Linked DNA regions of Styela clava. The protein of the gene in region 2 interacts with the protein of the main gene of each other region in a pairwise test. Links are inferred from orthologs where the notes say so. Each region holds a gene or a part of one and is shown on either strand. Other genes may lie near its edges.

The links.
Region 1: the proteins of serine/threonine-protein kinase PAK 2-like (region 2) and SH2/SH3 adapter protein NCK1-like interact in a two-hybrid assay, tested with the Caenorhabditis elegans proteins (2 studies listed by BioGRID). The link is inferred for Styela clava from reciprocal best matches to the Caenorhabditis elegans genes pak-1 and nck-1.

The regions. Positions count from the first base shown.
Region 1 is NC_135256.1:8,861,714-8,878,991, reverse strand, and holds the start of SH2/SH3 adapter protein NCK1-like, read left to right. Parts: upstream 1-10,872; 5' UTR 10,873-10,962; coding exon 10,963-11,203; intron 11,204-17,278. Other genes in the region: DNA excision repair protein ERCC-5 homolog, read left to right, coding at 137-365, 817-929, 1,462-1,661, 1,731-2,016.
Region 2 is NC_135257.1:19,372,452-19,389,567, reverse strand, and holds the start of serine/threonine-protein kinase PAK 2-like, read right to left. Parts: upstream 6,733-17,116; 5' UTR 6,571-6,732; coding exon 6,390-6,570; intron 5,864-6,389; coding exon 5,766-5,863; intron 4,470-5,765; coding exon 4,383-4,469; intron 3,826-4,382; coding exon 3,724-3,825; intron 1-3,723. UniProt on the Caenorhabditis elegans protein: Required for hypodermal cell fusion, together with cdc-42 and ced-10, leading to embryonic body elongation, which involves dramatic cytoskeletal reorganization.

The DNA.
Region 1 (17,278 bases), on a different chromosome or scaffold from region 2:
GCTTGGCTCCGGTTGAAATACTGATAATTAGATCATGAGCAAAACAAAGTAATACAAACTTGGTGGTTTGAAGTGTTTTACTTAAAAGTATTTATATCATTTGAAAATTTTCTAATATTCCCAACTTTTGTTTTAGGAAGCTGAAGCTCAATGTGCCACACTTGAACTGCTTGGGTTGACGAATGGTACAATAACAGAAGATTCTGATATTTGGTTATTCGGTGGAAAATATGTCATTAAAGATATGTTCGGGAGCAAACGAGATCCTGTTGTTTTTAATGCAAACGATATAGAAATGCAACTTGGTCTAAACAGAGATCGATTTATTTGTATTGCTCTGTGTTCTGGCAGTGATTATACAACAGGTTTGTTGTTTGTTTTTTATTCTGACCTAGAAATTCAAGGATGTGAGTGAGGTGTTTGTGAAACTTGTTTTGTATAACAATGTGGGTCAGTGTATCTCGTTTAGATTATTATGTATTATGTGATTGCTAGTTGATATTTTTCACCAATTATATCTATCAATCAGATGTGGAGTCCAACATTTAAAATTCTCTGGCATTCAGAGCTGGAGTAAAGTTGAAATTTCCTTGGACATTGAGTTTCATTTCTGATCCAAATTAAAATTGTTGTTCAACCCCAAGCCGGGAAACGAAGTTGATTGTAAAATTTTTCAACTTCACAACCCTGATGTCTATGCACGTAAATCATTACATTGCATCAAGTAGCTGTAACTATGGAATATTTGAGAGGATATTCAGATTTTTTATTTCAAATATTCTCCATTTTTCTAACAATCCTGCATTGTTCATTCAGGCATTCATGGTGTGGGTCCAGTCACAGCTCTGGAAATTCTGAAGGAGTTTGAAGGGGAAGACATTCAAGGATTGGTTCATTTGAAAAAGTGGTGGGATGAGACTTGTCAACGAGTAAGTTCTCTCTTTGTGTTAGTAAAAACAACAGAAATCCCTGCCACAAGTATGTTAAATTTGGCATCAATCATTGCTGATTTATTTTAAAGTCTTTGTGAAAAGTTGTTGCACGGCGGCGGCAAGGGACTAAATTAAAATGTTGATTGAAAAATGCAGAGCAATTATATTGTCAATTGTCGTCAATTGCTGTTTTTTTCAATTGTAGCAAAGTTCTGTCATGAAATATAGATTTTTTTCCTATATACTAACCACTGCATCAATGGTCTAATGGGTTGTTTCCGTCTTTCTGTGTGCCCGGTTTTATTTAAATGTTATTGAGTGGTCTGAGCACATTGCGGGTCTGCGATAATCTGGAGGCTTTGGGGCCAACAATCTTTAGGCAGTTGCATCCAACAACTTCATATATTTCATGAATTAGCTAAAAAAATCTTATTCCCAACAGGAAATTAGTCTATCCATCAAATATTTAACGAACGTTTCTGACTGACTGGTTCACAAGCTGACTCATTATGTGCTTTATATTTTACAGGTAACACAAGTGCTTCCCACAGAAACCAAGATAAAGAGTCAGTTGCGCAGGATTAATTTGAACAAAAATTTTCCATCAGAAGCAGTTTATAAGGCATATACACAACCAATTGTTGATGATGCTAGCACTAAATTTGAATGGGGGTTTCCAGATTTGGATGAGCTTCGTAATTTTGCTGTCAACACAATGGGATGGACACGGTATGGTAGTAATGACTTGTTATCCCTTTGCCTCTGATTGTTCTAATATTAATTTTCAAATTTTTCAAGACTCAAGGCAGATGAAACTTTGCTTCCTTTAATGAAGAAATTGGGGCAGCGCCGATCAGCTCAATTAAAAGTTACACAATTTTTTACCCCTGTATCCAATCTAACTACAAACAAAGCGAAAAGCAAGAGAGTACGAAGAGCAGTTGCATCTCTTAAAGGCAATGCTGAAATTGTTCAAGAAAGTTCAAGAAGTAAAAAAAAGGCTCGAATGACCAAGGGAAAGAAAAAGCCTGCTGTTAAAGAGGAGAAATTAAATTTGTCTGAATCTTCATCTGACAGTGAATAAAGTAACCTGAAAATGAAGCAATCTTTACTTTTGCACGAACTGTATGCTTTTACATTCGACGTAAATTTCAATCATACATGTTACAGGTTTGATGTTCAAATACAACACAAATGAACCCTATAAACGTTGTCATATAGTAAACTATAAGTTTCTGTTGGGCGTCGCACCATGCAATAGGAGTATGCTTGCCATCGAACCTCTGATTACGTTGCATGGATTTGTAGGTCCGAATCATATGAAGATGATTATCTGCGAGATGATTGCTGGACTAGTCTGTTACCGTACTGTTCCTTCGTCATCCTGTATCATCTCGTTAACTAATCCCTTACCCGACATGAACTGCCAACCAGACGAGGGGCCGTGGTAGGCACGCCTTTTATTTAAACAGTGTTACCGACTTTCCTTGGAAGGAATGTGAAAATCCTATCCTAAACCAAAATCTAGGCTTTTTATAACCCGTTGCCAAGTGCCAGAAATTAGGCTATATGATTCAACATCACGAAGCAAATGACCGAATCATTATGTATGCAAGTGTGCGTGCAGACGAAACTCGGGAACGCTGAAAAATTTTCCTTAGTCTCATGGCGAATCGGGCGTTCCCGTGTGTTTAATCTGTGGCTATGAAATAGCGCAGACAGTTGACAAAGCCACAGGTGTTGCATCTGAGCAGATACATTTCGAATCTATCCTCACGCCCGATGTTGTTTCCCGATCCTAGATAATACCTTTATTTCAGCATGCAAGAATCATAAACATCTTGAAGATAAAGCGGTTTACATCATGATACCAGATTCCAGTTGACTGATAATCGAGAAGGACCCGAACTGGTTATCATAAGTCTGCGACAAAATAGAAATAAGTCTAATGAGAAATAAAAAATATAGACTCAAAAGTGATCTTAAACTTTCTAAAAATATAACAATGAAGTATGAACAGTTCCTGGAATATTGAAAATATATCTTTCGATATAATTTAAAAATAAAAAATCTAAATAGAAAATAAAACTGTCGAGTACAAAAAATTGAGACACGCATTTTTCGGAATATTAAATAAATCAAGATTACACTCATGAAAAGATATGATAAAATACTTTCGCCTAAGATCATTTGTTGTGCTTGAATTTGCCACATGATAAAACCATGCAAGGTTCGCCCAACAATACTCGAACACACCCGAGTTATTGCAACATTCTGATGTGCTTTTCTACGATTATGAAGAACTTATATCAAACGATTCTCTATTTTTCATTAAATTGTCTGATGGAATTAGCCAATTCTTTAGAGAAAGATTGTACGAATGATAATGTATAATCTTAGCGTTTATATTTGTTATCTAACTTTAGGTAGGAATTGCGAGTGCAAAAGTTTGAGGTGATCTTTAAATTTCAGATACAATGTCTAAAATAATTGAGTGACGAAACTAGGACAACATATTAGATAGATTTTACTTCGATTCATTTGCAAAAATAGAACAATAGGCCTAAAGTTAATTCGAAGAATCTGAGAAGTGAACGAACTCTGAAAATAAAAGTAAAACATCCACACACGAAGAAGAAAGAAAATTACAACATGGTGGTTTAGTATTCAGGCGTCTCAATTTGTGATCAGATTGCGTGTCATTTACTCACTTACAAAACAGTTAACTAAAAGCCGCTGTGCACGTGATAAGTCAAGGCGGCGTGTATACGAACGAGAAAATTATTTATAGATTAAAATATGCAAGCATTTAACGCCGTTTCGTTCTTAAATATCACAAAACTATGGGCGATTATCGACATATCCAATAAAAATGCCCACACAAAAATGTGTATACCCAGCCCACTGAAGTGACCCAGCCCCATTTAGAAGAGTTGTCCAAGCTTAATTTCGAACAACCTTATCTTCTGGCTTGCATGCAGTCATTTGGTTAAAATATCATATATTTTTGCATCCCCATTGTGCTCTTCTAGTTCTGCGGTCAAAAATTCGCTAATTCTGTAATCCGTTGTTTGTTTTCAATCACGGAAGCCGCGATTTCTTCTTGTACACGAACGAATCTTCAGCTCGCATCAATCGCGTCCGCATCGAAACGCAGTTCCTTAGATAGGTCCATTCACTGTCAAAAAGAGTTTATATCGTGAGGCTTTGCTATACTATTGGATTTGGAGGTTGCGGCAAAGTTATTTTTTATTATTAATATTTGTTCATGGCTTGAGTAAACATGGGTCAGTGACGGTTTCCTCCAGCACTATTTCCACTATTCTGCTATTGGTACGGTGCCGTGGTTTATGATTATCTGATTAGGAGGCAGGGGTTTTCGTCACGTGATTGAGTCGTCTTTCCTTGGTAATAAATATAAAAAATGAATTGTCGTAACCAAATTTTGAGTCTAACATTTTGGACAGAACAATTGACTTTCGTTGTCAAAGTTTAAAGAAAGGGTACCGGTAAGTGGAGGTGCGCTGGTAAGCGGCACAAAATGTCTGAGGACCTAAAGTGTAATTAGTTCTGATGGGCATCAGTACCGTAACGGCCGAATTGATGGATTGGTTTACTGTTCTTTAATGCTCATACTAGTTCACTTTCCCGGTTCCAAACAGAAACAGGTTCCACAATACAGTAATATTACTGTATTAATTAGCAAATATGTTTACCTAATTGTTTTTAAAATGTGTTTGATATATTTGAGTTCAAGTGACGAATAGTTGCATACTGAAAGGACGAATACTTTACTTCTCTTTTTCAGCTCAGCATTCAAATGCTAATAAATCTTGAGCCCAATTCTGTATAACCTTGTATAAAGCCTTCTTGTGGTATTTCAAATAGATACTTGCAGACTTGTATTGCTGTATTCAGGTATTGTAGGGCTTGAGAAATTAATTATTCGAATACATTTCAATTCTCTATACGGTATGCTTCCAGGCTGTCCAGGCTAAAAGATCAAAAATAGGGATCCCTGTCATGCAGGTTTTAGTAATCTGTTGATGTGCAGGAACTACTGAACTAATGAGTCTTGTTACTGTGTTAGCAGTGTTCACCTGTTTCTATTCATTAGCGATTACCATATAAAAATCCACATTTAACAATTTTAAATATTCATCTAGTGATGTATGTTTCTCGTGAATGTCAGAATGTTGTTCTTTTGAGTATATTTAACTAGACCTACTTATTGGCTAAGATTTATGTCATTTTTATGTTATGCTTTTAAAATGTTTGCTTATTAAACAGGTATATACAAATTGGTTCTCATGTAGTTTTGTACTTTCGTACCTACTTCTAGAGGGCGTAGCATAACAATTTTTTGTCAATCCTAACCCCCACCTGACGCCATCCAAAAATTACGTCACTACGACATCACAGTGACGTAATAGAGCCTTTCAAACTATACGAACTGCCAACCAAGACAAGCACCAGAAAACGAACAGCTATTTCTCTCGTTTTCTCATTGCAACGATCCCAATAGGAGAGAAATCAATGACGTCAGTCAGTCTTTTATCGTTGGCGCTGATGCCATTTTGGGCGAACGTACGTATGTTCGACAAGCTCTATGACGTGATTGTGACATTGTAATGACATAATTTTTGGATGGCTTAGTCAGATGGGGGTTAGGATTGACATATCAAAAAATTATTGTGCTACGCCCACTAGAAGTAAGTTAGGTACAAAACTACACGAGTCCCAACAAATTGACTTTTTTGATCGAATTTTTACTAGAAATCTGGAAATGCACTCATGCCAGTAATCACATTAGTACAAAAGAGTGAAATTAAAATTTCTGCTTTGAATTTTTAAGGTCTTCGATGTAGGTTTTATGTAGTTGTATATGTTTTGGCACTGAGTGCATTAAGGCAACATTAAACACATGCATTATGAGTGCTCCAAATGAAGATATGGTAATTGCATTATATGACTATCAGGCAAAAGATCAAGAAGAACTGAGCATTAGAAAAAATGAACAACTCACCCTTCTGGATAACACTGGACCCTGGTACAAGGTGGGATTTTTAGATTTGTATGAAATGGGCACATTGTATCCATGTGTCCGTTTTTGATAAATTTTCTATTCATGATCATTGACTGAAAGCACCAAAAAGCCTTGTGTTGTTGATGTGATCGATCATTCTTTTTTAAAACAGGGTTGAAGACGTCAATTTTATTATAATCACTGACTAACTGCCGTAATATGTCAGAATGCTGAGTTGCGATATTTCTTTATCACTCAGCTATATGCTAATATTAATTTTTACAGCAATCTTTTGATTATTCGCTATGTGAAATAAGAAACATCTAATTCACCTCTATAACTGTTGGGCATGATCCGAGTCCACATTCAAAAATTGAGATGAATGTAATGTAGTTCTGAAAAGTGTTCCATTGCTTGTCGTGACTGAGTTTTTTATTTCACTTTTCAGGTCCGAAATAAGATGATGACTGTTGGACTAGTACCATCAAACTATGTAAAATGCAAAGGAGAATCTTTCGTCAATAGAATAGGTACATTTATTTTTTACTTTTCATTGTTCATTGTCAAACATATTCTGTCTCCCAGTTGTGTCAAGTTGATTAATTATAATCAAAAACAATTAAATAGCTTTCAAATGCGGCCATTCCATAGAAACCTGCAATTTGACTAATACTGTTAATATTATATTAGAATATATGTATTGAAATATCATAAGCCAGCATTTTTTGTATTGCTTATGTGATGCTTTATTTTTATTAAAAACCATTATTTTCCAAAATTACCAATACTAACATAACATATCCATACTTATCTCAGAAATAATTGATGCTCTTATCTACCAATTTTCTGTGTTTAGATGTATAAACAAGATAAGTATTAATTGAATATATTATTGATTTTAAGGATAGTGTATAAAGATAAATCAATAGATATATCAGATAGGTTTACCCCATATGACTTAGTATTACTTGGACTACAACGCAATTCCGCCAGTCACAAAACATATTATTCATCTGAAATATATTTGATAGAATGCAGAGAAAAGGGTTTTAAATCCTACTATTATCATAACATTTCACTGACTAACAAAATTCATATCAATTTTTAAATATAGTCTAACTGTAGAATGAGGTCTTTCTGAAAAATAATAACCTGTCATAATTCATTAGCTTTTTATATGTTAGTTATTCACTAAAATAGAATATATACCAGTCATGGTTGAACTTTTCAAACCAATTAAAATCAATATAAATTAAATTGTCACCATCAAAATTTCTTGAGAAAAGTAATTTTATATTATTAGATTGGTTGGTAGTGTGTGTGTGCGTGTCTGCCAATTGATCAAGCACTGAGAGATCACAAGTTATGCGTCAGAAGCAATCTCGATCAACTATTTATTTCGTATCAGTATTTATTGTTTATTTTAGCAGACTAGTATGCAGGCGTTTATTGAAAGGACAGGACAAATTAGTAATTTGTTAGGCTGATTTAATAAATAAATTTATTGTATCTAGAAAAATCTTGACTAGTGAGAGTGACTAGATAACATTTTTTCTGCTTTACTGAAGGATCTATTATGTTATTACTGCAATCATATTGCAATATTTAGATTGTGTACAATTTCAGATAATCGTAACTCTATCAGTTTTTCAGTAGTACGCACTTATGGTATCATGCATATACCCTCATGCATCACAACTATCGACATATTCAAAAAACTGTCTAACCTGACTGAATTGTATAAGCAACAAGTTGAATGCTTTTATAGATGATAAAAAGAGACATATTGCAGTTTATTCTGTTATTTTGCTTTCTATTTTCCACCATGTCTCTTCAAAATAATAGGCGTTCGTCACTTCGACATGACACATTTCAATAAAGATAACTCATTATAAAATGACACCATGCAATTTCTTCTCAATACTCCTTTTTAGTCTAAAACCGGTTTATAGGTGACTCAGTTTCTGACTAATTGACCGTCTCAAGCAGTACAGCCTTCCAATATTACTTCCTTTGCTTTGTGATATCGCAGTGACATATACCGGACATTGTTCAGAGACTATTAGAATTGCTATTGCAGGAACGTTCAACTATTAGTATTAAATTAAATAGCCTAGATTTCCTCAAAGGCAGCTCAGCAGCATCTTAATTTATAGAACCATTTCAGCTAGACATTGTAGTGTGCTGTTCATTTTGTTGATTGATTTTTTCAAAAAAAATAATGAGGATAAAGCTAGACTAGAAGTGGAGATTTTCAAAATCGTAGTGTATGAAAATGATGCCAGTTTGATCAAATTTTGAGCATATGGGCCTTTTTAGGTAATGTGAGATTTTTCCAAGTTCATAAGCTCTTTTTCATTTTATATGAAATATATTGTACTTCATAATTTTATATTTTTATGGGTACTTATATGAAACAGTACTTACCGGTATATAACAAGCGGTCAACTCATCTTGGATCATAGAAACACAAACTGAGAATGTTTAATGCCATATTCATGTTATGTTTGGCAATTATACAGAACCTTCTGTAACTATCGTACTTGAATGTGATACGGGCTTGTCTAAAGCTATTTCTTTTCCGTTTTTGTGGAGGGCCTAAATGGACCAAATCTTTAGTTTCAAGTTTGCCGGGCTATTATTTAAGTTTAGAGGATTTATAGGCAGATTTGTTAGGATTGATAGAACTATTGAAATTGTGCAAAATCTATATATGAATTGTATGATTATTCCAGGTTATGACAGATGTGCAGATTTATAGCGCAATATTTAACTAATGAACAATCCATTGTTAAGGTTTAATTAATAGCATAAGCAAATTTATATGAATACACCAATAAGAATACATGGTGCATGTTCACTGTGAAGATTCCAATTTGTATTGACACTATTTTAGTACTCTGTTTGGCCATGACATCTATAACACAACAAATACCCATAAAATGAATATAGCTATATGAAATATTAACAATTAATCAATTGAATTCAGTTAAACATAGCATAATATAGAGATATAGTTTACTACTTTCAGGTGCAATTTGTTTTATGCTCCAAATTGATTTGCCAAACATGAAAAATCTGGTTTGAAATGGCCCACTTTCTGTCTGAACAATTGTTATTGTATTATTTTCTTGTTTGCTTTTGTTAGTATAAAATGCGCTAAGCTTTTGTCATATTTGGATTAAACCATCAGAATTATATATTAAATTGTATTATTGTCAACACAATCACTTGGACATTATATCATAAGAAGATAGAAGAATGTCTTTTATTCATAAATTTGGTGAGTACAATTATTTAAATTTGAAAATTAAGCCAAGGTCTCAGAATCCACTGCCAGGTTCACAGATGAGGTCATTTAGAAAGACATGTTTGAGTGTAAACAGCTTTGTGATATTTTCAAGGAAAAATCAAATAGGCGCTGTTTTAAATATATAGATGTTCAACTACTGATGATGATTCAATAAAATAGATAGTCGTTATTCAAGTTAGTGGAAAACTTCCTGATACTAAGCTTTAGAAATTACAGATGGTTGGTATCATTGAAAATTGTATTTTGGATTTATTCCGAATTCGATAAATTAGTTGTAAAGGGTTTTTTTGAAAATAAATTATTATTGAAGGAATATATTAGCCAGGAAATTTTATCGATAGAAGCCAACTCCAATGCTTCCAGACGTGAAATCAATCAAAATAAATATTTAATACTTTTTGATTTTTCAACTTTAATATCGACAAATGTATTTAAAGTAATGCCGGTTATAATTAAAAACTATTATTTAAAATCATTAGAATTGTTGTGTGTTTACAATCGTATCCCTTTTACGCTCGCGTTTCTCCGTACGGTCTCTAGTTCCGTTTTAGCATGGCCCCAATTTTTCTAATATATCTTGTTAAATGTATAAACCTATTTATTAGATGGCGCCTGTTCTCGACGCTAAAATTTTCACAATGCTGAAAGCTTCTCACGTTTATTGCATGTGGAAGATTAGTCACAAATGTATTCCGCTGTAAATAGCACTTATTTTATTGTCCATATTCAGCCGTGTGTTATTCAATGGACATTCGCAGACAAGCCTAATCTTTATTAGTAAAAGCAAAACCGAATGTTGTACGCGAGCAATAAAATTTAACGAAAATTAGCGATCCGGAAATGTATGTTTATTGTCTTGAATGGCAATTTAACAGTGAGAATGTAGCAATTAGTCTTTCACTTCGTAGTACTTTCCAACATGTAGGGCTGGTGAGCAAGACAATAAAATGGCAAATGTTTGCGTATTGGAGCATATCACCTCAGGCGTGTTGGTATATTTCAAATTCAGAATAGGAGTTAATTGAAGATTTCTCGATGTTCTTTGTAAGTTTCTGTGGAAATTAGCAATCAGGCGGACATCTATTCAGACATTAGGATAAGGTGACATGGAGCAAAATAAAAATAGCAATAATTCCTGAGTAAAGTTCAAAGTCTCCTAATAAATTCTCTTGTTTTCTCTGGATTTCAAGGATAGGGAAGATACCCTAAGCAAACTAATATCAGACATTTATGTTCTATATTTAGCACGTGTCGCGATTAGTATCGAGGAGGACGTTCTGTGTGGTTATGGAATTGTTTGTAGAACGTGGTTTCGTCTTTCGGAATTTTTTATATTGTCGTTTCGATAACAATTGAATTAACTGCACATTATTTCAAAAGCTAAATATTTACCGTACATGTAATTCCGATGAATCGAATGTGAAAAAAATATATTTGAAACAGTAATGTAATTTTAAATTTTCATGTCTACGGTATTAAATATTCTACATGCGAATTAATTACATTTCTATACTTAATGTATTTTATTTCTTATGGTGAGTTCATTTGCATATGGATAAATATACATAATCATCAGTATTTTAAACTTTAGCTTTTGAAATTATCTTTCACGAGATCTTCTTAGGCGGAGATAAGCGTTAAAGTATAGGGATTGATCTTTTCGCTCCTGGGCGACTACTATGTGAATATTAATGCCATTGGGGGGTTTCATTTGTCTGTGTGGATATGATTGTCAGACGGACATGGCGACGATGAGCCTTATGGACGCTCCTTGCAAGATTATTCTCGGGGTGTCCCGACTTCCGAGCTGTCACCTAGCAGCTGCACATTGTACTCTTGCTGGTAGACGCAAAATACCCCTGGAAAAACGCACCGCTGACTGTCGACTAAGAAATTCAAGAAGGTATAAGCATCATAGAAGGAAAGCAAAAGGTATGATGGTGGTCGTTTTGAGCGGTGTGATAGCCTACTTGAAGATTTCCATGTTCATTTTGTGAAACGGCGTTTATACAACTGGCCATTGTACCATGACTTCTGATTCTGGTTGAGTGGACGAATCAAAGTTTACTTGGAGTAATTTCAATGGATTTTATAGAAGGAAATGTTTCTTATATCATATTCTATCGTCGTGTGGTGCTTATTTTTTGACGGGGCGATGAAATATAGTTTACGCCAAACCTAAAGGATAGTCCGTGATCTTCAGCTTATTTTCAAATAAAATGACGCCTTAGATTTTTTTAGTAACAACGCAACGAAGTTCTGTTCCCGATCTATATCAGTTTAGTCGTTGTCGTAATTTATCGCAGAATATGCGACAAGTTATATATTTCAATTCGCGGTTGGATTCGTCTGGTCATATTGCGAAACTGCAATATATGGCATTCACGTTAGTTTCCTTTTCCAACGTTGATATTGTTTTCCCCGAGATACAATGTAAAAACAAATTGCCTAACAAACATTGCCAAGTAGTTTACTTAGGCCTGGAATTTATGTCTGAGTCATCCTTTCATATGTTACTAAGGAGCCTCTACAATACAATATGCAGAAAAGGCGAACATCATTGTCGATTTTTCTTTGGGCTTCCTGGATCCCAGTAATATATACATTGTGTATGTTGAGGTATGGCATAAGAGGAACGGTGGTCCACGGTCGCTTAGTGTTCATTGATAGTATGGTTAAGAGGATTGAGTTTTTTCATGGCCAAATCGTCTATTCTTAAACTTGGCCAGACAGAGATTTTTTACAGCAATTCAATTATTCTCATAACACTGAGCTGGTCACCGGAGACTGCTAGCTGAAGCCGTCGTTGTAGATTGTGTTTATGTTGAGAATTTGCTAATGTGTTTGAGCGCACCTTTGGCGCGCAAGCAAAATGTAACTGAATTCGTTGCTCAACTATTAAAGGATTTTACAAACTTTTTTCGCGGACTTGTACTCACCGAGATAAGATTCTAGATGGAGCGGAGTTTTATTTTAAATGTAAAGCGTTATATTGCCACACCTACAATATAGTACACAGCAGTATAAGCAAAACTTTTGTCTCAATGTCGGTAATATCCAACTCATTTACTTACTATTTAAATAAGGGATTGTAACGGAATTACTTCAGGCTCCGACACGCAGACACATCAAACAACTTCAGCAAACAAACTTATATTTATTGCAGAAATATTTGTTCAATCATAAACACTCTATTTCCCATGTCGTTCATGAGTTGGTGCGCATTTGTCGGATATCAGAATGAAATGACAATAACTTGAGATTGTTATAACCCGATGTTTGGGATAACAAGGCTACTTACTCCCTTCATTTCAGATTTTATTCCCGATTTTAATTTCCTATTAATATATAGAAACTGGAGCCGCATCCGCGTGGATGGGCATTGAATATTCTTAAGATTTATTTGAAATGCATGAATCCTGCGTAGTCCGGTCCGCAGAAAGCCAGTTGCAATGTATTGAATTAGAGTGCATTTTATACTATTCGTGTGAAATTCGTCTTTTAATAATAAACAACAGGTTGCCAACCAAACCATACCGGTCTCATATACGCTCCTTGCGCATTATACGGAGTCATACAAAGTTGAGTTATTTTTCGAACGTGCGAATTCTGTAGATAAATCGAATGTCAAGCAATTACAGCCCGAGGCGCGTCGTTGAATCTCATCACATTACTTATTCTCGAAAATATGCAAGTTCTTATGCTTCAATACCATTAATGTGTCTGTATCATATCAAAATCGATTCATTTCAGCACGCTTATTAAAATTATTCAGTCGATTCGATGTCATATATGTGTAATTCGTTTGGCTATCAACTAAGTGGTTTTCGTTTCATTGCTTTTACATACCCTTTTGTTTTGGTAATAAAGTCGCTCTGTTTTTTTAGTCTGTATTGTTGCCAAATTCCATCCCGTTTTGTAACATTCAGAAACGATAGTATAGTGAAGAAGTCTTGCTTCTGCTTTTTCGAACCCGCCCGATATTTCGCCTAAATTTTTAATCAAATAACAAATTGAAATTAATCATTTCGTTTTCCATACTTTTATAGTATTCATTAGATATAAGTGCGTCAATTCCAAACACTTTATTATACACCAAAAATTAAAACAATGATTTAACAGACATCTTTCGAAATAAATTATTAATGTTTGAGAATGTGATTTACCAGCCAGATCGAAGAAGTTCTACTTTTGAAAATGAAGCTGAAATGCTAATTAATTTCTGATATGATTTGCTAGCCAAACGTTTGTTGTCGGTATAGTTCAATGGTTGTGGTCATGTAGCGTAAGGTGATCACAAATCCGACCAAATATGATCTCCGAGAGCAATTTGATATGTCCGCCGTTTCATGTTTCTCAAGCCTGAATTGTATCGGTATTGGTGTCGTAAGTATGAAAAGAATAGAAAATGTATAACGTAGACGCTAGGGACGCGTCCTAATTACTTCTGTCACGTGGGACCGCTAGAGATGTCTTACAACAGCGTTTAAGATTAAATTTCATGCTTGGCCAGATGTGGCCCAGGACAAGATATAAATTGCAATACAGTAGTATCGTGTTATTGCACGACTTTTGATTTGTAAATATTTGTCTACATCTAATTTTGAACTGTTGCCATGTACGTCACTACTACATAAAGGCATTAGTATCTGGCATGTATACGCCGAAGCCTTTTTCTGGCTGACATTGCCACATACTATTCACAATGTGTCACCGACCTGCATCAAGCTGGAACAAGTACGAGGGTTGTGAAATCAAAATCGACGAATATGGTTGTCCACCATCGCAATGCATTGTTGCATTGCGCTCAATTATTCTAATTGCCCTGAATTGCGGCACGCGAGCTTGTAATCGCGCTATGTTGATTAACGCAATAATATTATAATATTAGAATAAAAGTGAATTTTAACGTGTCTTACGAAAACGATTTTTTTTTTCAATATCATTCATGACCATGGCGAAGTGCAAGACGTTATGAGTGGGGCTTTCATCCTCCATCGCTCTGGAAAGTCCGTCAATTCAGTCTAATGCTTCCACTTCATGATGTGTTTACGTACATATATATACACGGCGCCATCGAGTGAAGGCTGATGAGCGTGTGTCATGGTTTATACTTTATACACTAATAATGACGCTGATTAAATCAACAAAAAATATTGTACGATATATCTGTTGGCGATGTTTTGGCGTCATACTTGTCAAATTTGGGGTATCGATAATCAGAATATGACCAGCGAACGTAAATACTCTGAAACTATACTTAAGTTAATGCTCGTGTTGAAGTTGTACTATTATTGTGTCTTTTTGTCCTTATTTAGCATATAGAAGATGAAATCCTCCCATACTCGCGACCACGGTTTAGGCTATTTCTGCATCCTTTTTTGTGGCAGAGTTCTCTGAATTGCGGTGCCTTGTTCGGGTTATTATTTATATCGACTATGTCAATTTATAATCAACTTTTTGGTCGAGGAAGTACCGCATCATGCGTGCTATGATGCAACAATGCAACGCCTTCTTCCTGAAATATGACCTAATGATTCAGTGGCCCAATCTACAGGCTTTGGTAATGCTAGTAGCTACACTGTTAATTTGTGATGGGCGGCTTATCATTCGATATCTTAGCCCAGAAATAATTTCGTTGATACGATTCACTATCGTCGTACAGTTTGGGTCCGCAGTAATTGGTTTTTATGCTTCTGTTAGTGTAAAAACGACACATGTTTAGGCATATAGTCGTTAATTATTATTCATCATATTATTATATTGCTGTTTTGTTAATGAGGACAGATTCGTAAAGGGGTTACATTGATAAAACGAGGATAGACGTTGTTTCTCTTTGCTTCTTAGTATGACTATCAGACACCTATTATGTGGCTGTTTTGACAATTTTGTCTCGGCGGGTTGTTTTGACTGTCGATTTTACCAATATCATGAAACGTTATAAATATAAATAATAAATATGGAAACTTTCAATATAAATATTATCGATAATCTTACCGAGAGTAAATTGAAACAATACTATAAAAAAATCATTATTGAAATATATTTTGATTTTTCCTAAGTTTGATGATTTCATATTCTGACGCCAGTTATGTAGCGTTATAAATGTGTAGACATGATGTAATCAGTCGGCCATCGTAACTTAATATTTTGAAGTATCTGCGTATTGGTGTGATAATAATAACAATAATGGTATCTGGCTAGAACATTTAAACTTTGTTTGTATCGTTGTATATTGAAATTGAGATTTTCACTGTATTGTTATTAAGAAACGGTTGATTGATTCGCAAGCATTGTCAGAAATAATAAGCGCGAACAACAAAAGAGCCACTTTAACCCGCGTGGAACAATTATTGGTTTTAACGGCAAGCATCAATTTTTTTGCGCGCCTCTGTTTATGAATAAAAACAGGAAGCCATTAGACCTAACGACAGGTTTAGTAGGCTTATGAGATGTAAGGTGCATATTCGGATGTTACCTTTAGCCACTGCGCAATGCATATTTCTAACATCCTGAACTATGGTGATATTGGTTCCTTGAAACAATTGAATCGTATTTTAGTATGCATTGCTGTACTACAGCTGGTCATTTAAATTGTATTTTCCAAAATTGAGGTTAAAACATTGTGAAAGTCTTCCATAATATTTTATTTGATTGGTGGTTTCGTCAATAAAAATGTTCGCCTTTGTATCATTAGTTAGGAGCATTATTATACTATTGCCGAGGCTAGATTGCTTTTGTAAATTAAATTGGAGTGCTTGTATGATGTTTTATATATGTTACATGCGGTAATAGCCGGTTGTAAATAGACTTTTGAATGCCCCTATGCCCGTTGCTTTTACTCGATTCTTCAGAATTTTATATAAGATGCCCATTCAATGTACCATTACAGTAATTATTTTCCCTATTGCACTGGGCTTAAAATTAATGCGCATATCGATACCATTTCATGAAGGTTGTTGCTCATATAGCTTGATTGGGGTCATGCAAAGTCAGGGACTCTAATTTTCGATCGATAGGACTATTACACAGCGTTCGTTTTGCGGTTTTATAGTCTGTCTGAGACATATTAGATATGTTTTCCTATGACATAAAGTTTATTGATATGCATACTATATTATAGCGTAATTGGATGATTAAACATCTGTTTTCTCTTACGCCTAAGCATTTGCTATATGTAAATGGCATTTGAAGAACGGTTACCTAGCACCAGAGGATGAACAAAATAATTCCATTCATGCATAATTACATATTTGTGTTTAATTGAAGCCTGCTTTTTGGTTAACCCAATGGCAATGGTTTTATCATATATAAATGCTTAAACTGATTTGCAAACTTGAATTTGTATCCTATAATCAATGGCTTGAATGAAAAGATTTTCCATGCAAAGTTAATGGGAATTTTAAATGAATTAGAAATGCCAGTCCATGAAAACTATGTACAAACGATCATTGTTTGTTTACAAAATTTCATACCCTTGAATGCTACATATGCAATAGGCACTGCACACTGCTGCACTGCTGCTGCATAGATTAGACAGTACTAGACATCACCATTTGAACGTTTGTGAGTATTTTGGAATGAGGGATTTGTGAGCCATTGGCCCATCTTAAGGGTATTTTTTGGTAATGCGAGTACCCTTTAAATTAACCTTTCTGTCAATAATTAACATTTTGACATAAGCCCATTAATAAGTGTACACATATTAAATTCGACTAAATATTATTGCTATCGATTAATCTCAATATCTGATATGTTGTTCGATTTAGATATATGTATATTGGTGTTCATTTATAATGGTTTTATGAGCAATATTTGTGGAGTTAATTTGAGCAGATATTAGTGTAATTTAGGCTTTGTTGTTCTGTTTTTTTTAGATAAGGTATGGCCATATACATATAGCAGATTGCTTTGAATGTGTCCGTTGGCTGCTATTACTGAAACCTTATTGCAGATTTACTTCTCCTTATTCAGTATGTGATTCATAATAAAACCTGTGAACTATTA
Region 2 (17,116 bases):
TAGGAATAGTTAAAATGAACTTTGGTGAAGGCTGTCATAACTGACAAGTGTTCAAACTAGATAGCCATAGAAGGCCGCCGACTTATCAATCTGCGGTTTTGATTCTTTCGCTCTGACTCACCAAGTGTCCCACCACTAATTAATTACACGGCATAATTCATCCAAAATCAAGAAGCCTCTGGTCCGAGATATGATGGATGTGAATGCACATGCAAAATTTGAAGCAGATTCATCCTCCCACGAAAACAAACAGACAAATACCTCAAGATCGATAAGTAATAAACCACGTTGATACGATGAGGAATCTAGAAGGGTTATACCTAGCAGAGCAATCTCTCATTTAATGGCAATCCCAATTTTTAAAAAGATGCACCAACCTTGGAGCCAAATGGTTGACCAATGATTGAATAAAAAGTTGATTTCGCATGACATGCATGCCTGGACATCATTTTGCTGAGATTTTTGAATTACATTCGATTATTTATTTAACAAATATCAGAACATTTCCATAGTATGTCTTCTAAATGTCTGTGTTGGCATTTTGTATAATTTAGAATTACATAATAAATTTGGAAATACTGTCACTATTGGAATATAACTAATTAAACAAATGTTCAAACTAAAATCCAAAAATATATGGACACAAATTAACAGGAAACACAGGAGTAGCAGCAAATTCGATTAACTTCCTTATACTAAACAGTGTTGTGAAACTAAACATATAACCACTGATTAGATTCAAAATTTTAAGAACAGTTGATATGCAAAAATCGGAAAGCTAATTTGCATCGATCGATGTCAAGTTAATATTTCATTAAGACAAATTAAGGGCTTTGACCCAAAAGAGCTAAACCTGGAAATGGTGTTTTAAAATAGGTTTATAAAGGCCCTTTTTTTGAATTTGTCAGGAGAACGATTTTTTAAACTGTAACATTTTATTGAAATACTGTGGTAAATGAGATACCAGCTTTAACAGCACCTAGTTCTTTATAATAAAGTCTCTCTACAATTTCAATTTTGTTATAAAGTCAATTTTCAATATATCTTGTCCAGGTTTGTTGTTTTTTATTCAGTAATTGTGCAAGTATGTTTACTTCATTTAATACATCTTTGAGGGTCAAAACAATATATGGTATCGATAAATTCCCTTTGCAATTTTAAATAACTTTTCAGACACCCTATACTTCATGCAAATAACATTTCCAATGAATGTCAACTTTAGCCATTTTGTTTTGCAACCTTTGAAATAACCAGAGGAAAGAAAGGCCATTGTCTTGCATATGCATAAGCTGTCTTAATTAATACCATAGAAGGAAAAGAAATTAAAATGTCATGTTTTATAGCACAGTCACAACAAGATGAATCATACCACAACCTTAGGTGATGGGAATGTTAAACAAACAGTGAGATCCCACATAGAACAGTAATACAGGAGAAATATCACTGACACTGATTGTAATACCGACATATAACGAGATTTTTCAAGAGGACGTACAAGACGTGTGGCAAATTGTGAAAATAAGGCATGGGGGAAAAATTTCACATTTTGGATGACATGACAAGGCTCTCTATGTCACAAGTAATTGCATAAAAGGCCTGGAATTCATATAATACTGAATTTATGGAATTTAATATTTGTAAGACCAGGGATGGCCAATTCGAATAAAGTATTCGAATGTATTCGAATATCTCGTCATTCGAATATCGGAATTAGCGTTTATAAGAATATCGGATTTTCGTGTGACGTCACACATTTTCGACGCCGCTCTCAAGACGTTTCCGTTAAATGAAAACATTCTCGATAGAAACTTGCTCGCGATTGCTTTATCAGGAGACGTATTATTCAGGCCGTAAACGCCTTTACGCTTGTGTTATTTTCTCTAAAACGCAAGTATTCCACAAATTTGTTCCACGATAACGATGACAATTATCTATTTTTGTACTCGCGCGGAATTGTGAATCCGGTGAATACGTTCATCGGCGGCTAGTTTCTAAAGAAAACGCAAATATTGAAAAGCGGCAATTTAAAATACTGAAAATAAAACCGTAAACAAAATGTGTTTCATTGAAGCCCGCGACAGTTTAAAAAACGCTTTTCTAGGCGGTGGAAATCGCAAAATTTCCAAGATATGTTTGGTCCGCGTTTAGAAACATATCATCACTAATTGAAGGCGGGATTTGCCTGATTACCCATTACTTTAATTAAATTGCCGTCGAAAATTTTTGTGTTAACATTATACAAGGTTTGAAACGCGACTTTTACCGTATTGTGAGAATGTATATAATAATACATTTAATCTAAAGAATATTCAATCAATTTTTATTGTGCTGAAATAAATTTTAGTCTGAGATTTTACGGCAGATTTATGGATTTTTCGAACGGTTTTATCTTAAAAATAATCGGAGTGGCGGCATTTCGATTGAGCGGAGTCAGTGTTACACATTTCAAATTTGCCGAATTCGCAAAATACGGATCAAAACAATATATAATCGGGCAGTTTACCACACATTTTTATTTTTATGTCCGCGATTGTCATGGTAAATTAGAGTGGTGAGGATTTTATTTTGTCGACGCAACCGCAGGTTAAATTGAAAGCAATTAAATTAATAAAGCAAGACATTTTAAATATGCCCGTATCGGTCACGAATTCATCACTTTGCACAACAGAAAAATATATACAGTATTCGTTGTTATATTATTCGTTGTAAAAGTCGGTTTTTTAATCGCGCGATATGTATTTTTAACATATGCGGGGAATGCGGTGGCTGTTACATCCTAACTTATTGCTAATTCCAGATATAACGATATGCTACACATAATAACAATATGGTTCACATGAATTAATATACAAATATACTGGTAGGTAGTAGAATACTGGTAGGCTTAAATATTAGAATTTGTAAAGGCATAATGGATATTAGATTGTTGTTGCTTGTTTCAGTTGCCTGTATTGCTAATGCATTTTACTACTCTCAGAAAATATACACAATCATCTGAATACAAATAGTATTTCTGTCAATAAACTTGACTATCATCATAATATCATGGTACCAATGATAGAAAGCGTCAGACAACTCCTTGGCTACCTTTCCATATGGTCATTTATACTAAGTGTACAATTTTAATAAACTGACTGTGTCACAAGATGCTATTATTTTTATTGATAGCTATAAACTATCAATTAATTTGTGTAGATATACTGTTGGTTTGTGGCTTTATTCTGGTATAACTTTTGAAGTTTATTCCCTATTTTATTGGGTTTTAATAAACTTAAAAAAAGTGTGTTATTTTCGATTTTAGAATGTATTCGGAATTCCAGATTCGAAAACATTATTTTAGAATGTATTCGGAATAGTTTAGTATTCGGAAATGGCCATCCCTGTGTAAGACCAAGGCGATATCATGCTAGCATAGCAACAGAATGACATAAATCATCATTGCATAAATGTGGAAAATCATACCCATTTTTTTCAATGTGGCAAATTTATTGGATCAAAAATACTTTATCATCAAAACTTTAATTAGTTTCATCAACTCTAACGTAAGCCAGCCAGCATTTTCTGGTGGACGGCTAATAAATTATGGCAGAGGTACACAAAAATATAAATTTTTCCCCAATAATTCGCCTCACCTAAAAAACTTCGCCGACCACTGTTTATCTTTATCAGATAAAAAATTAAATTTGTTTAAATTTTTTTTAAAAACTAAACCATAATACAAACCTTTAATACTGCAGATGATTCGAACGAACTATTCTTTGTCATTTTCATATATTTATTTCCACCTCCTTTCTTTTTTTCTGTCATGTCATAAAATTGTAAAACCTGAAAATAAGTTGAAACAAGTGTTAAATTCCATACAAATTGGGCGACTATAGAACAAAAATTGTGTGTTTTAAAGAAACCTACATTACTACAACAAATTGGCAACAAATGACTTGAATATATTAGAATATTTCACTTTTATTTCACAGGAGAAAAACGGTGAATCTCATCTGGCTACCAGTACATGTCGGGTATGGTAACGGTTAATCATTAATTTGTTCCAGATACATAGACTTGAAGATGGAGGAATTCGTAACAGATGAGCAGTTAAGCAAATCATTGAAATCCTTTAACAGTGAATAATCCAGATGTGCCAAAAACAATGTGAAACCGCCAGGCTTGAGGCTTTCTTATATTATTGTTCACTGGTTTTTGAAATTTAAAATAATGTTCATGCTCTTAACAGTTTTGAAAACATACACAATTGATTGGGATTTCCAATTTGAGTACGCTCTTACAATATAAAGTATTGAGAAATCAACATTATAAAGTTAAGTTAAATTATGTTAAATATAAAAAGTTTTCAAAGAAGATTGAGAATTCCGAAATTTGAATACCTTGAGAACCAGCTGTGGATTCTTCTTTTGTTCTGTTTTGCTGATATTTGATGTTTTTAATAATCTTGACCATTGTTCAGGCATTCCCTGGAAAGAAAAAATTACAAATAACACTGTGAATGTCATTAAGATTATCCTGAATTTGGCATCAACGGTTAAAATCCTCTCAGGCTTCAGAAATACAACAGAACGAAACTTCATCTTGTCTACTTACCGTACATCCTTGTATATAAGCAGAGTTTTAAACTAAAAAAAAAGCCGAAACTAACTAGGGAGTTTGGCTTATACGCGCATACCTTTCGCGCACTAAAAATTTGGCTTGTTACACACGTAACTTTAATCGCACTAAAGCAACCATTTGCAGTGATGAGTAGCATGTAACAATTTGTAAGGTTGATAATATGTTAATTTTTATCAATCCATGTTTTAGGGCCGTTTTTAGGGGTATTGGCTTAGATATATACCATATTGGAATATACGGTAGATGAGCATAACACAATGGTTGAAGTACAGACTTGAGCTTTATGTACTTCGTATCAGCAGTGAAAATGTCTGCCTTAGAACTTTCCACTCAAGCCAAAAAGTCAAGTCAATAACTCTAGTTATAGCCACAAATCGCTATCCATGGTAGTAATACATAGGCAACATTTGGTGAACTGGAGAAAATAAAATTTCAAGCATTCCCAGTGTGGAATGATGTGAAAATGATAAAAAGTAAAGAATTTGATGCCCATTTTGCTAAGATTAGCTTCAAATTTTCTTATTTTTACATCTTGGTATCACGCTACATCGAACATTATAGATCAGACTTGGGCAAACTATGATCCGTAGGCCAAATCAGGTCCGTTGGATCCGTCTGAGGATGCCACAGCCAAACTTAAACCAAATTTTGATGTTTTAGCTAAAATAGCTCCAGAGATTTGTTGAGATTGCGAATAAATTTAGTTTTGGTACAAGGATAATTGTTTTCCCTTTTTGTCTAGGTGGGCAAAATATTTGGTCCATGGTCCCAAAATCTTGCCTACCCCATGTTATCAGTGTTCCCTCTAAGGTGTGAGCGTGTGCGCGCGCACACAGCTTTCAGAGGCTGCGCACATGCATAGATTTACTGCGCACAGACGTATTTCGATATAATGTAACAATGTTCTCGGTTGGCAGGTTGAGTTTGTTGTTGGCTTACCCATTATCCGGTTAGAACGCCAAAATTTCTTCATAGGTTTTTGCACAAATATTGGTCATTTCCAAAAAAGTGCGCACACACCAAAATTTCTGCGCACACATACTATAAAAAATTAGAGGGTACATTGCCTGTTATAGATTAATAGATTTGAATATCTCGAAAACAGCTGCGATCATGATCTCACAACATTGACTTCAACTTACAGTAAATTCTCCTGTTACTGCATCGAAACCGACATGCACTGTATGTTCAAAATCTTGAGGATATGATATTTCTGGTCGTTCACGGTCTCGTTTCCGATCTAAATTATTAAAAGTTTGATAAATAGGCATCGAAAAATGTGTTTAAATGTTTAAAGATGATACAAATGATAAGTATATAAAAGATAATACCAATGTATTATAGATATCAAATATGATGATATTTCATCTTGACTAGGCTAAATCATTGAAATACCCAACATAACACGAGCGTATCGTATACAGAGATACAAGTTTAGTCCAATTTACAAAACAACATGCGTAATGAAGTTTATTGCACAACATGGATCAATCTATACACATAGAAATTGACATTTCATGAAACTTATCACTGTATAATGTTAGTGCACAGAAGTGTTAATTCGAAAGCAAAACAAAATAACAGTCAAAGTTTGAGGTAGATTGATAGTTTATTTTGAAAAGCTCCTGAACATTGGAGATGGTGAATTGTAGAGGCCAAGCATAACCTTAAAGCATAAAACAAAAGAAATAGAATGCACTCGCAAATAATTCTGTAATTGAGCGAAACAGCAAAAACACAAACTGGGGTAAACAATGGAAACTTACTTTTATCTTCACCTACAAAAATACTCTTTAGCTTATTTTTCTTCTTTTTATCTTCTGGAAGGGACGGGAGAGGTTTCGTTGTAGATTGACTTGCAAAATCTCCTTTTCCATGAGCGGCACTGGCATGTCGGACAGGTGGTGCTGGGGGCCTGTCCTCGGAGTCATCGGAATTCATTGACATTTCGATTTTAAAATGTTCAAAAAAATTCTATGTTCCAATATCCAATATGTTTTTTTCTCTTCCAGCACAGTACGGCACTATGAAGAAACGTTAAAAAGAGATCCAGAGTCCAGTTGTAATAAAGTAGCAACGTCCTATTACCGTACACTACCCAGTTAACAATCTGAAAAACAAAGAATTGCCCAGTTAGTTACGGTCAGTGTCAGGGTGTGGTACAGTACCGTAAGTGCAGAATTGAGACAGACAGAACTAAGCCAAGGCTGATGCTCACGGCGATAGTCAATTTAGTCTACTATTTAACCTTACGTCTCAGCCTTTTTATTATACCGGCGCTATAAACAAAGCCAATATTACCTTTAAATCGATTATCTATTGGAATTTGGGAGAAATAGACTACAAAACAGGGCATAACAGGTGCCAACTTGGCAAAAACAAGAATAAATCGGGCCCTGAATCGCGAGGAACTGGAGTCTGGAACTGCAGACGGCAGGTGCACCTCCCAATATAACGTACTAAACACCGCCCACTACGACCGAACTATTTTTTATTGAGGTTGATTCTGTGGACACAGATCTCGAGTTTATTTCGACTCCATAAGAAGCAGTAGACGATAAAATAATAAATAAAAACAAAAAAGGAAATAGCTGATTATAGAATCGGGAGAGCAAACAAAACCTTATGTAAGGTTCGAAGCGTACATATTTCAGTTGGAAAGGTATTGATAAAAGAAGTATTACGTGTTCGCTCATCCAAAATGAATATGGCATTTTCATTGTTACATACAAACAACCAAGTTTTGAACATCGACATGAAAAGAATATTTGTTTCGCTCCGTTATCGACGAATATGACAATGCTATGACAAGTATCTTTATTATTTTTCAATGAACTTGTATAGTAGAGGTTACTGCAAGTGTTGAGCTGGAAAAATCGTAACAACCAGAACGCAATTAATTCGTGAAAATGTATTATATTTACGGCACGTCCACATACGCTTTCCTCGAGTTGTGTTTTCCCCTAAAAATGGCATATTTTCATATTAAAGTTCGTCACCACGTTACAAATGAAATTTATCCAGCAGACCAGGCACTTTTTTTTACTTAGATAGATCTTCAAGCGCGATTGTAAACCTTGCCTTGTTACTTATCGACCTTAAGATCGGTAAGTATGTTGATAGGTATTTGTACGTTTGTCTGTTAGATGCACGCTATATCTCACGAAGGCGAAGTTGAATCTGCTTCAAATTTTGCATGCACATTCATCATATCTCGGACCAGAAGCTTATTGATATTGGATGAATTATGGCGTATAATTAGCGAGTTAATAATTAATTAGTGATGGGACACGCGGTGTCACTATTCGGTCATGAATCGAAAACGCAGTTTCGAACGATAAGTCTTCGGTCTCCGACCGATATTCTCGTTTGTTTGTTTGTCTGTCTGTTAGATACACGCGATATCACACGGAAGATAGGTTGAATCTGCTTCAAATTTTGCATGTGCATTCATCTTATCTTGGATCAGAAGCCTATTGATTTTGGGTGAATTATGTCGTATAATTGACGAGTAAATAATTAATTAGTTATCGGACACACGGTGTCACTATGGAGTAAGAGCGGATGAATCAAAAATGCAGTTTCTGTTTTGGGGGAATCCCCTAACTTTCGATCGATAAGTCTTTGGTCTCCGATAGATATTCTCGTTTATGTAGTTTCAGGTTTTGATTATATTTCCAAAATATAAGTATAAATAAAATGAATGGCCAGAATAGACGACGCTGACATCAGTTGTCATTACTATTTAACAACAGCTGTCTGATTCATTTTAAATATAATGGTATTTTTGAAGCGCTCAACCTGTCGGCACACGCCGGAACTTGAAAACCCTTTCAAAATAAGCATGGAAAATAATATAATGATAACGTATGGATGTATCCCCAAACTTCGGCCCCAGAAAATTTATCTTCATACTTTCGCAAAATAAATTTTGAGAGCTTTAGATCTTATAAACTGGTTTACATTTTTGAAACCAAATTTTGTATCAGAATCATCCGTTCACAAATCTTAATAGCTAATTTTAGCCTAGTCTCTACCGCATAGTCTGCGAGCGGTGCTCTCGAAGTATTCGTACCAAGATGGCGGACATCGGAACGTAATATGGGTAACAGGTTAGGGTTAGGCCATAATTTTTTTCCAATTTTCCTTATTTTAGTCCTATTATCAGTTCGAAGACTAGCCAAGAGCCTCCCGTAGTATTTATACCTAAAATTATGGCCTAACCCTAACCTAGTACACATATTACATTCCGATGTCCGCCATCTTGGTTCGCATACTTCGGCAGCCCCCTGCGAGCAGTGGGTGATCAATTTTTTTGTCACCCGGTTCCACCACAAAAATCATATTTCTTCCCGGTTCTATTACAAAAAGTCATTGAGTGTAACCAGTAATGCTAACCGGTTCGCTGATCTCATGAAATTCCGTAAGGCGGTTCTATAGAACCGGTGCGAACCGGCTAGATCCCACCGCTGTCTGCGAGCCTTATTCATGACAACTGCAACTAAAGATCCCCAGGGGAACTACGAAAACGAAGCAATGTTTACAACCTTACTTGAATATCTGTCTGATTGACAGAAGTGTCTGAGCGACCGCAGAAATTGCAACCTTTCTATTCTCGACCCACTGCCCTATATATTCCTCAATCTTCCTAACCTCGTCTCACCATTCTCTCCACTAGATTATCACCCTCAACTTTTCTATACTCGGCCCACTGCCTATCTCCTTCAACCTTCCTATCCTCCACCCGCTGTCTTCTCTCCCTCAACCTTCTTGTCCTCGCCCCGCTGTTCTATCTTTGACCCCCTGTCCTATCTCCCTAAACCTTAGTTCTCGACCCACTACGCTTTTTTCTCAACCTCCCTATCCCCGACTAACGCACTGTCTTGTTTCTCTCACCTTACTATCCTCGACCCACTACCTATCTTCCTCTCCTTGACCCAACGCCCCATCTCCCTCAAACTTCCTATGCTATGCCCACTGCCCTTCCTCCCTCAACCTGTCTATCCCCGACTAACACACTGTCCTGCTTCTCTCACCTTACTATCCTCGACCCAATCCGTATGTACATCGACCTTTCTATTCTCGACTCACTGTCCTATCTCCCCCTCAACCTCTCTATCCTTGACCCACTACCTATCATCCTCTCCTTAACCCACTACCCTATCTCCCGCAAGCTTTCCATCCTCGACCCACTGTCCAGCTCCCTCAACTTACCTATCCTCGATTCACCAACCTACAGGCTACTACTTCGTAACCAAACTAACCTTGTTTTACCCCCGCTCTCAGTCCGACCGTCACGCCAAACCTCGTCTGCGTGTGATTATGCAAACTCTCAGGTTTTACGGCTCAAGTATGCCAATGAGATGATTGAAGCTTGTGTCGACGAAACAAGCTTATAAGGTTGACGGCATTCGTGACCTATTATTATGGGAATATTTGAATATGAAACAAATGTATAGCTTCAGTGAGTGTAAATGATGACAAAAGTGTTTGAAATCTTCATTGACACTTATCCACATCATTTGCCAGGCCATTTAAATGTAGGCTGAATCGCAAATGGTAATCAATCACCATAATTGGTAGCTCAAATATTTGCTGTTTTACTCAGGGAATACGGTTAATGGGAAATGGAACGGTCTGCTAATACACTAGTTTTATTACGAAATCCGTATAAATCAATCGACCTACTTTTTGAAGAGTTCATAATCTTTCAGCGCCCACAACGGGTCAATCTTCAAATATGGAGAAGTCACGAATTTCACATGTGAACAAAGAAATCTCTTGAAAAAATAGGTTTCGGCGCGACGCGGTTGAAATACTGGAAAAGGTACGACAAATAAAATATCATTCAAAGAATCCTTGTACAGTGATTCAAACCCCCACGCAATCCAACTAGAGTCCAGTAGTTCTCAACCTTTTTTCTTTCGTGGCGCACTTTCGTTGCGTAAAAATTCTGTGGCCTACCAATTTTCTCATGCAAGGAAAAAACTACAAGAAAACAAGACTATTTTTGCAAAAATAAATACTTTCACCCTAATAATTAGAATGAAAAGAAGAGCATCATTCATTGCTACTACAAAATAAATTTGACTATGATGACACAAATGAACTAAACTTTTCAATACCCATGACGACAATCTTGGTTAATTACGACAATTTTCAACGTTCAGATAATGAAAGGAATTCCGGTCTAAAAGAAAACAACGGTTGCTGCGTTGGATAAAGGCATGGCTGCCATTATAGCATAAATGGTTGTTAGATGAATGTGATGTTACCGTATATTGCTATTTCGTAGATTGTCTCAGAACTTGCAAGTCACCCGTTGTTTGTTGCTGTTTTGATTAAGGCAACCCCTCACCGGGTTAGGCCCTCGACAGCAACGAAGCAAGAAGAAAAGGAAGAAGAAGATGAACTACGCCGAAGCCGCCTCAACAACGCCTACACCTACAAGCGAAGAAACAACTGCACCGACTACACGACCTCGCACTCTGTTCCTGACAACCACCAAAGACCTGGACTTCCCTCGACTGTTCGACATCCTCAAGACCGACTCAGCGTCCCGAAACTACGTCGACAACATCACGGGACTGTTTGAGGGAAGAAAAGGTCAGTGGATATGTACTTTTGCCGCCACCGACGACCCCAACTCTAGCTGTGGCGAGCAATTCTTGCACGACACAAAGGGTGAAATAAGAGTTTCAGACGCTGTTACGGTATCGCTGCCAACCGAAGCACCAGTCCGAATATCCATTCGGGGGATACCGGGTGAAACTTCCTACAGCAAGGCCGTGTCGACAATCGAACGACTGCAGTGCGGAAAAGTCCGGAATGCCACCAGAAACTGGTACAGAGGTACGTCCATTTATAACGGATACACTTCCTTTTTTATTGAAAATTTCAAAAAGGACAGGTTACCAGATTACTTGGTCATCGACGGGAAAAGCTGCAAAACTTACCTGCCCAGGGAATTATACGTGCCAACCTGTGGTAGGTGTTTGAAATCCGGTCACAACTTCACCGAATGCGAAAGCGAACCAGTCTGTCGCTACTGCAAACAGCTGGGTCATCTTCTAGAAGATTGTCCATCCAGAAGAAAAGAATTTCCATCGATTTCCTGCTCTACATGGACCCTTCCACGACGTCGAAAACAGCTATCAGAAAACCCACCTCATTTGGAACAACCAAGTAATCAAATAAATATTTCACAACCTGCAACAGTATCGGATTTACAAAATGCCTCACAACCTGGACCAATTTCGGATTTACAAAGCGCTTCACAACCTGGACTAAATTCGGATTTACAAAATGCTACACAATCTGGACAAGTTTCGGAATTACAAGTCAACCAAAATGCCGTACAACCTACACTACAAACCCGGATATACCAGTCGATCAAATGGATTTACAACCTGAATCGACCATTCTTGGACATACTCCGCATGACAACAGGATTGATCCAACCTCGGATGTAATCGAATTTTCTTCCTCCACCGATTCAACCGACTTAAAAGAAGTTAGTAATTGGCAGTGGCGGCGCGTCAATAGGGCTAACCGGGGCAATGCCCCGGTTGTTTTTTCGGTATAATAAAAAATATTCGAAAAATACCTCAATATCGGTTGCACAGACTGTCTACACTAGCCATATTCTCCCGACATGGTTCATTTTTCGCTCGCAAAGCCTTCGCCGAACGTCGACGGGGCGACGCCGATTTTGCCCCGGTTGCTCATTGTATATCGTATTCTCTCTTTTATCTTCCACTCGCCGCGTTTGTCTCGTTTGTTTTCTGTTTCTTTTACTAAATCATCGGGGCCGATCGGGGCTAGCCCCGAAATTAAGACAACACAATGCCGACGTTTCTTACAACAACGTGTTGACATATTCACGCATTCCTTCTCGTTCATTGGTTGCTTGAAGAGTTGATAGTTTCCTCGCCTTCGTTTTTGTCGCTTGTTTCGCTATTTGAATCAGTTAGAGACCTTTAGTCCATTTGCTTTCGATTTTCCACATTCCTTTTGAGCTCCTTTCGGACTCCGTTTTCGCAGCTGCCGCTGGAACAAAAATTAGAGGTACAACGTCTTGGGCCTTATCAACCAAAAAATTGTTCACTGGAACAATCCCATGACGGAGGAAAGCGTCGGCGTACATTCTGCGCAGAAACTTGGTATAAAAAACACGAATGGTTGTGTTACAGCGAGGACAAAAATGCACTTTTTTGTTTTTATTGCCTACTTTTTGCTACCGCCCGTGACTCACGTTGGTGTAAATTTGGTTTTAGAGATCTTAAACATCTTTCCGAGCATGCCAGGGATCATCAATCTACTATGGAGCATCTGGACAATGCAGTAAAATACCGAACATTCGGAAATGTTAATATTGCAGCACAGTTGGATGAAGGACGCGCGGTTTCTATTCGTCGGCACAACCAAAACGTCGAGAAAAACCGCCATGTTCTCGGTCGATTGATAGATGTTTTGAAGTTCATTGGTTGTCACGAGCTGTCCCTCCGTGGGCACGATGAACGGGCTGGCTCTTCTAATAGAGGGGTATTTTTGGATATGGTGGAATACATCGCATTCCTAGATACAGTATTGATAGATCATCTTGATGCCGCAACTGTTTCGAAAGGGACATCTAAGGAATCCAAAATGATTTGCTCGACTCAATGTATAAAATTTATTTACAACATTTGGCTCTGGAAATTGAGAATTGCCAGTTCCTTTAGATTCAGTCTGACGAGACAACTGACATCACGTGCGTTTCCCAACTGGCTGTGATTTTTCGGTTTGTGAAAGATGGTAAACCTACCGAGTGATTTCACAGCTTTGTACCAATCGTTGATTGCACGGCTTGCGGGATATCGGCTGTACTGAAAGAAGTGTTACAGCCTTACAACGCGAAGTCAAAATTGATAGCTCAAACTTATGACGGCGCGGCAGTCATGAGTGGGTCGAAACATGGTGTTCAAGTTTATATAAAAGAAGATTTTCCTCATGCGCATTTTTTACATTGTTATGCACACCAATTTAACCTCGTTATTAAAAATATGTGTCTTGATACCCCTCTCGTCCGTATATTTTTTGCAAATGTTTCGGGGTTTTCTTCATTTTTTTTTCCGTTTCGCCGAAGCGCTATGACCTCCTTCGCCAGATATGTAGCCGCCGTCTCCCAGCTTGTGCACCAACACGTTGGAACTTCCAATCACGCGTAGTGCAGGGCGTGTCCGAAATTAGGTCTGAGCTCATTGAGTATTTCAATGGCATTCAGAGCTCTCCGGTTTGGGACGAACGCTCTGTGAGGGAGGCGGCAGGTCTAAAGCGTCTGCTAGAAGATGGTGAGTTTTCATTTTTTCTCCACAATATTCTATCACGTGGATGTATTATACGGCGCATTGCAGTCAAGGCTAATGGATGGAGCGTCTGTGCAGTCGTGTATTTCAGACTTCTGCGATGCTGTATCTCGTATCCGGGAAACAATAAAATACGACGACACATGGAGTGCTTCTTTACGCCGCGAGCAAACAACGCAGCGTTTGATTTTGTCTGCAAAGGAATGCTGTGACATTCTGGTGAATCAAATAGGCGATCGTCTGCGCACTGAACACCTTGCCGCGTTCTCTTTGATGAACCCCAAAAATTTTTCAAAATTTGCACGTCAATTTCCCATCCATTTGTTGGCTACTGTCTCCAAATTTTACCCCATGATAAACGTGGGTAAATTGGAAAATGAATTGCGATGTATATACACCAATCAAACTTTTTTGAACATCACATCAACTTGCGCGCTCTATGGGTTCCTCATAGATAACACTCTAGTAACTACCTTTGCGGCGTTTGCAAAATTTCTGGACATCATTTTGACGACGCCTATTTCTTCCGCCGACGCAGAGCGAACATTCAGCACGCTGAAGCGTATTAAAATGTATCTCAAAAACACAATGAAGCAAGATAGATTAAATTCCTTGGCTGTTTTATCCATTCACAGAGACGTTATTTCTGGGATGCATGACTTTAATCAGCGCGTTATTGAGCATTTTGCTTCCAAGAAACCGCGCCGTACAACCTACACTACAAACCCGGATATACCAGTCGATCAAATGGATTTACAACCTGAATCGACCATTCTTGGACATACTCCGCATGACAACAGGATTGATCCAACCTCGGATGTAATCGAATTTTCTTCCTCCACCGATTCAACCGACTTAAAAGAAGTTAGTAATTGGCAGTGGCGGCGCGTCAATAGGGCTAACCGGGGCAATGCCCCGGTTGTTTTTTCGGTATAATAAAAAATATTCGAAAAATACCTCAATATCGGTTGCACAGACTGTCTACACTAGCCATATTCTCCCGACATGGTTCATTTTTCGCTCGCAAAGCCTTCGCCGAACGTCGACGGGGCGACGCCGATTTTGCCCCGGTTGCTCATTGTATATCGTATTCTCTCTTTTATCTTCCACTCGCCGCGTTTGTCTCGTTTGTTTTCTGTTTCTTTTACTAAATCATCGGGGCCGATCGGGGCTAGCCCCGAAATTAAGACAACACAATGCCGACGTTTCTTACAACAACGTGTTGACATATTCACGCATTCCTTCTCGTTCATTGGTTGCTTGAAGAGTTGATAGTTTCCTCGCCTTCGTTTTTGTCGCTTGTTTCGCTATTTGAATCAGTTAGAGACCTTTAGTCCATTTGCTTTCGATTTTCCACATTCCTTTTGAGCTCCTTTCGGACTCCGTTTTCGCAGCTGCCGCTGGAACAAAAATTAGAGGTACAACGTCTTGGGCCTTATCAACCAAAAAATTGTTCACTGGAACAATCCCATGACGGAGGAAAGCGTCGGCGTACATTCTGCGCAGAAACTTGGTATAAAAAACACGAATGGTTGTGTTACAGCGAGGACAAAAATGCACTTTTTTGTTTTTATTGCCTACTTTTTGCTACCGCCCGTGACTCACGTTGGTGTAAATTTGGTTTTAGAGATCTTAAACATCTTTCCGAGCATGCCAGGGATCATCAATCTACTATGGAGCATCTGGACAATGCAGTAAAATACCGAACATTCGGAAATGTTAATATTGCAGCACAGTTGGATGAAGGACGCGCGGTTTCTATTCGTCGGCACAACCAAAACGTCGAGAAAAACCGCCATGTTCTCGGTCGATTGATAGATGTTTTGAAGTTCATTGGTTGTCACGAGCTGTCCCTCCGTGGGCACGATGAACGGGCTGGCTCTTCTAATAGAGGGGTATTTTTGGATATGGTGGAATACATCGCATTCCTAGATACAGTATTGATAGATCATCTTGATGCCGCAACTGTTTCGAAAGGGACATCTAAGGATATCCAAAATGATTTGCTCGACTCAATGTATAAAATTTATTTACAACATTTGGCTCTGGAAATTGAGAATTGCCAGTTCCTTTAGATTCAGTCTGACGAGACAACTGACATCACGTGCGTTTCCCAACTGGCTGTGATTTTTCGGTTTGTGAAAGATGGTAAACCTACCGAGTGATTTCACAGCTTTGTACCAATCGTTGATTGCACGGCTTGCGGGATATCGGCTGTACTGAAAGAAGTGTTACAGCCTTACAACGCGAAGTCAAAATTGATAGCTCAAACTTATGACGGCGCGGCAGTCATGAGTGGGTCGAAACATGGTGTTCAAGTTTATATAAAAGAAGATTTTCCTCATGCGCATTTTTTACATTGTTATGCACACCAATTTAACCTCGTTATTAAAAATATGTGTCTTGATACCCCTCTCGTCCGTATATTTTTTGCAAATGTTTCGGGGTTTTCTTCATTTTTTTTTCCGTTTCGCCGAAGCGCTATGACCTCCTTCGCCAGATATGTAGCCGCCGTCTCCCAGCTTGTGCACCAACACGTTGGAACTTCCAATCACGCGTAGTGCAGGGCGTGTCCGAAATTAGGTCTGAGCTCATTGAGTATTTCAATGGCATTCAGAGCTCTCCGGTTTGGGACGAACGCTCTGTGAGGGAGGCGGCAGGTCTAAAGCGTCTGCTAGAAGATGGTGAGTTTTCATTTTTTCTCCACAATATTCTATCACGTGGATGTATTATACGGCGCATTGCAGTCAAGGCTAATGGATGGAGCGTCTGTGCAGTCGTGTATTTCAGACTTCTGCGATGCTGTATCTCGTATCCGGGAAACAATAAAATACGACGACACATGGAGTGCTTCTTTACGCCGCGAGCAAACAACGCAGCGTTTGATTTTGTCTGCAAAGGAATGCTGTGACATTCTGGTGAATCAAATAGGCGATCGTCTGCGCACTGAACACCTTGCCGCGTTCTCTTTGATGAACCCCAAAAATTTTTCAAAATTTGCACGTCAATTTCCCATCCATTTGTTGGCTACTGTCTCCAAATTTTACCCCATGATAAACGTGGGTAAATTGGAAAATGAATTGCGATGTATATACACCAATCAAACTTTTTTGAACATCACATCAACTTGCGCGCTCTATGGGTTC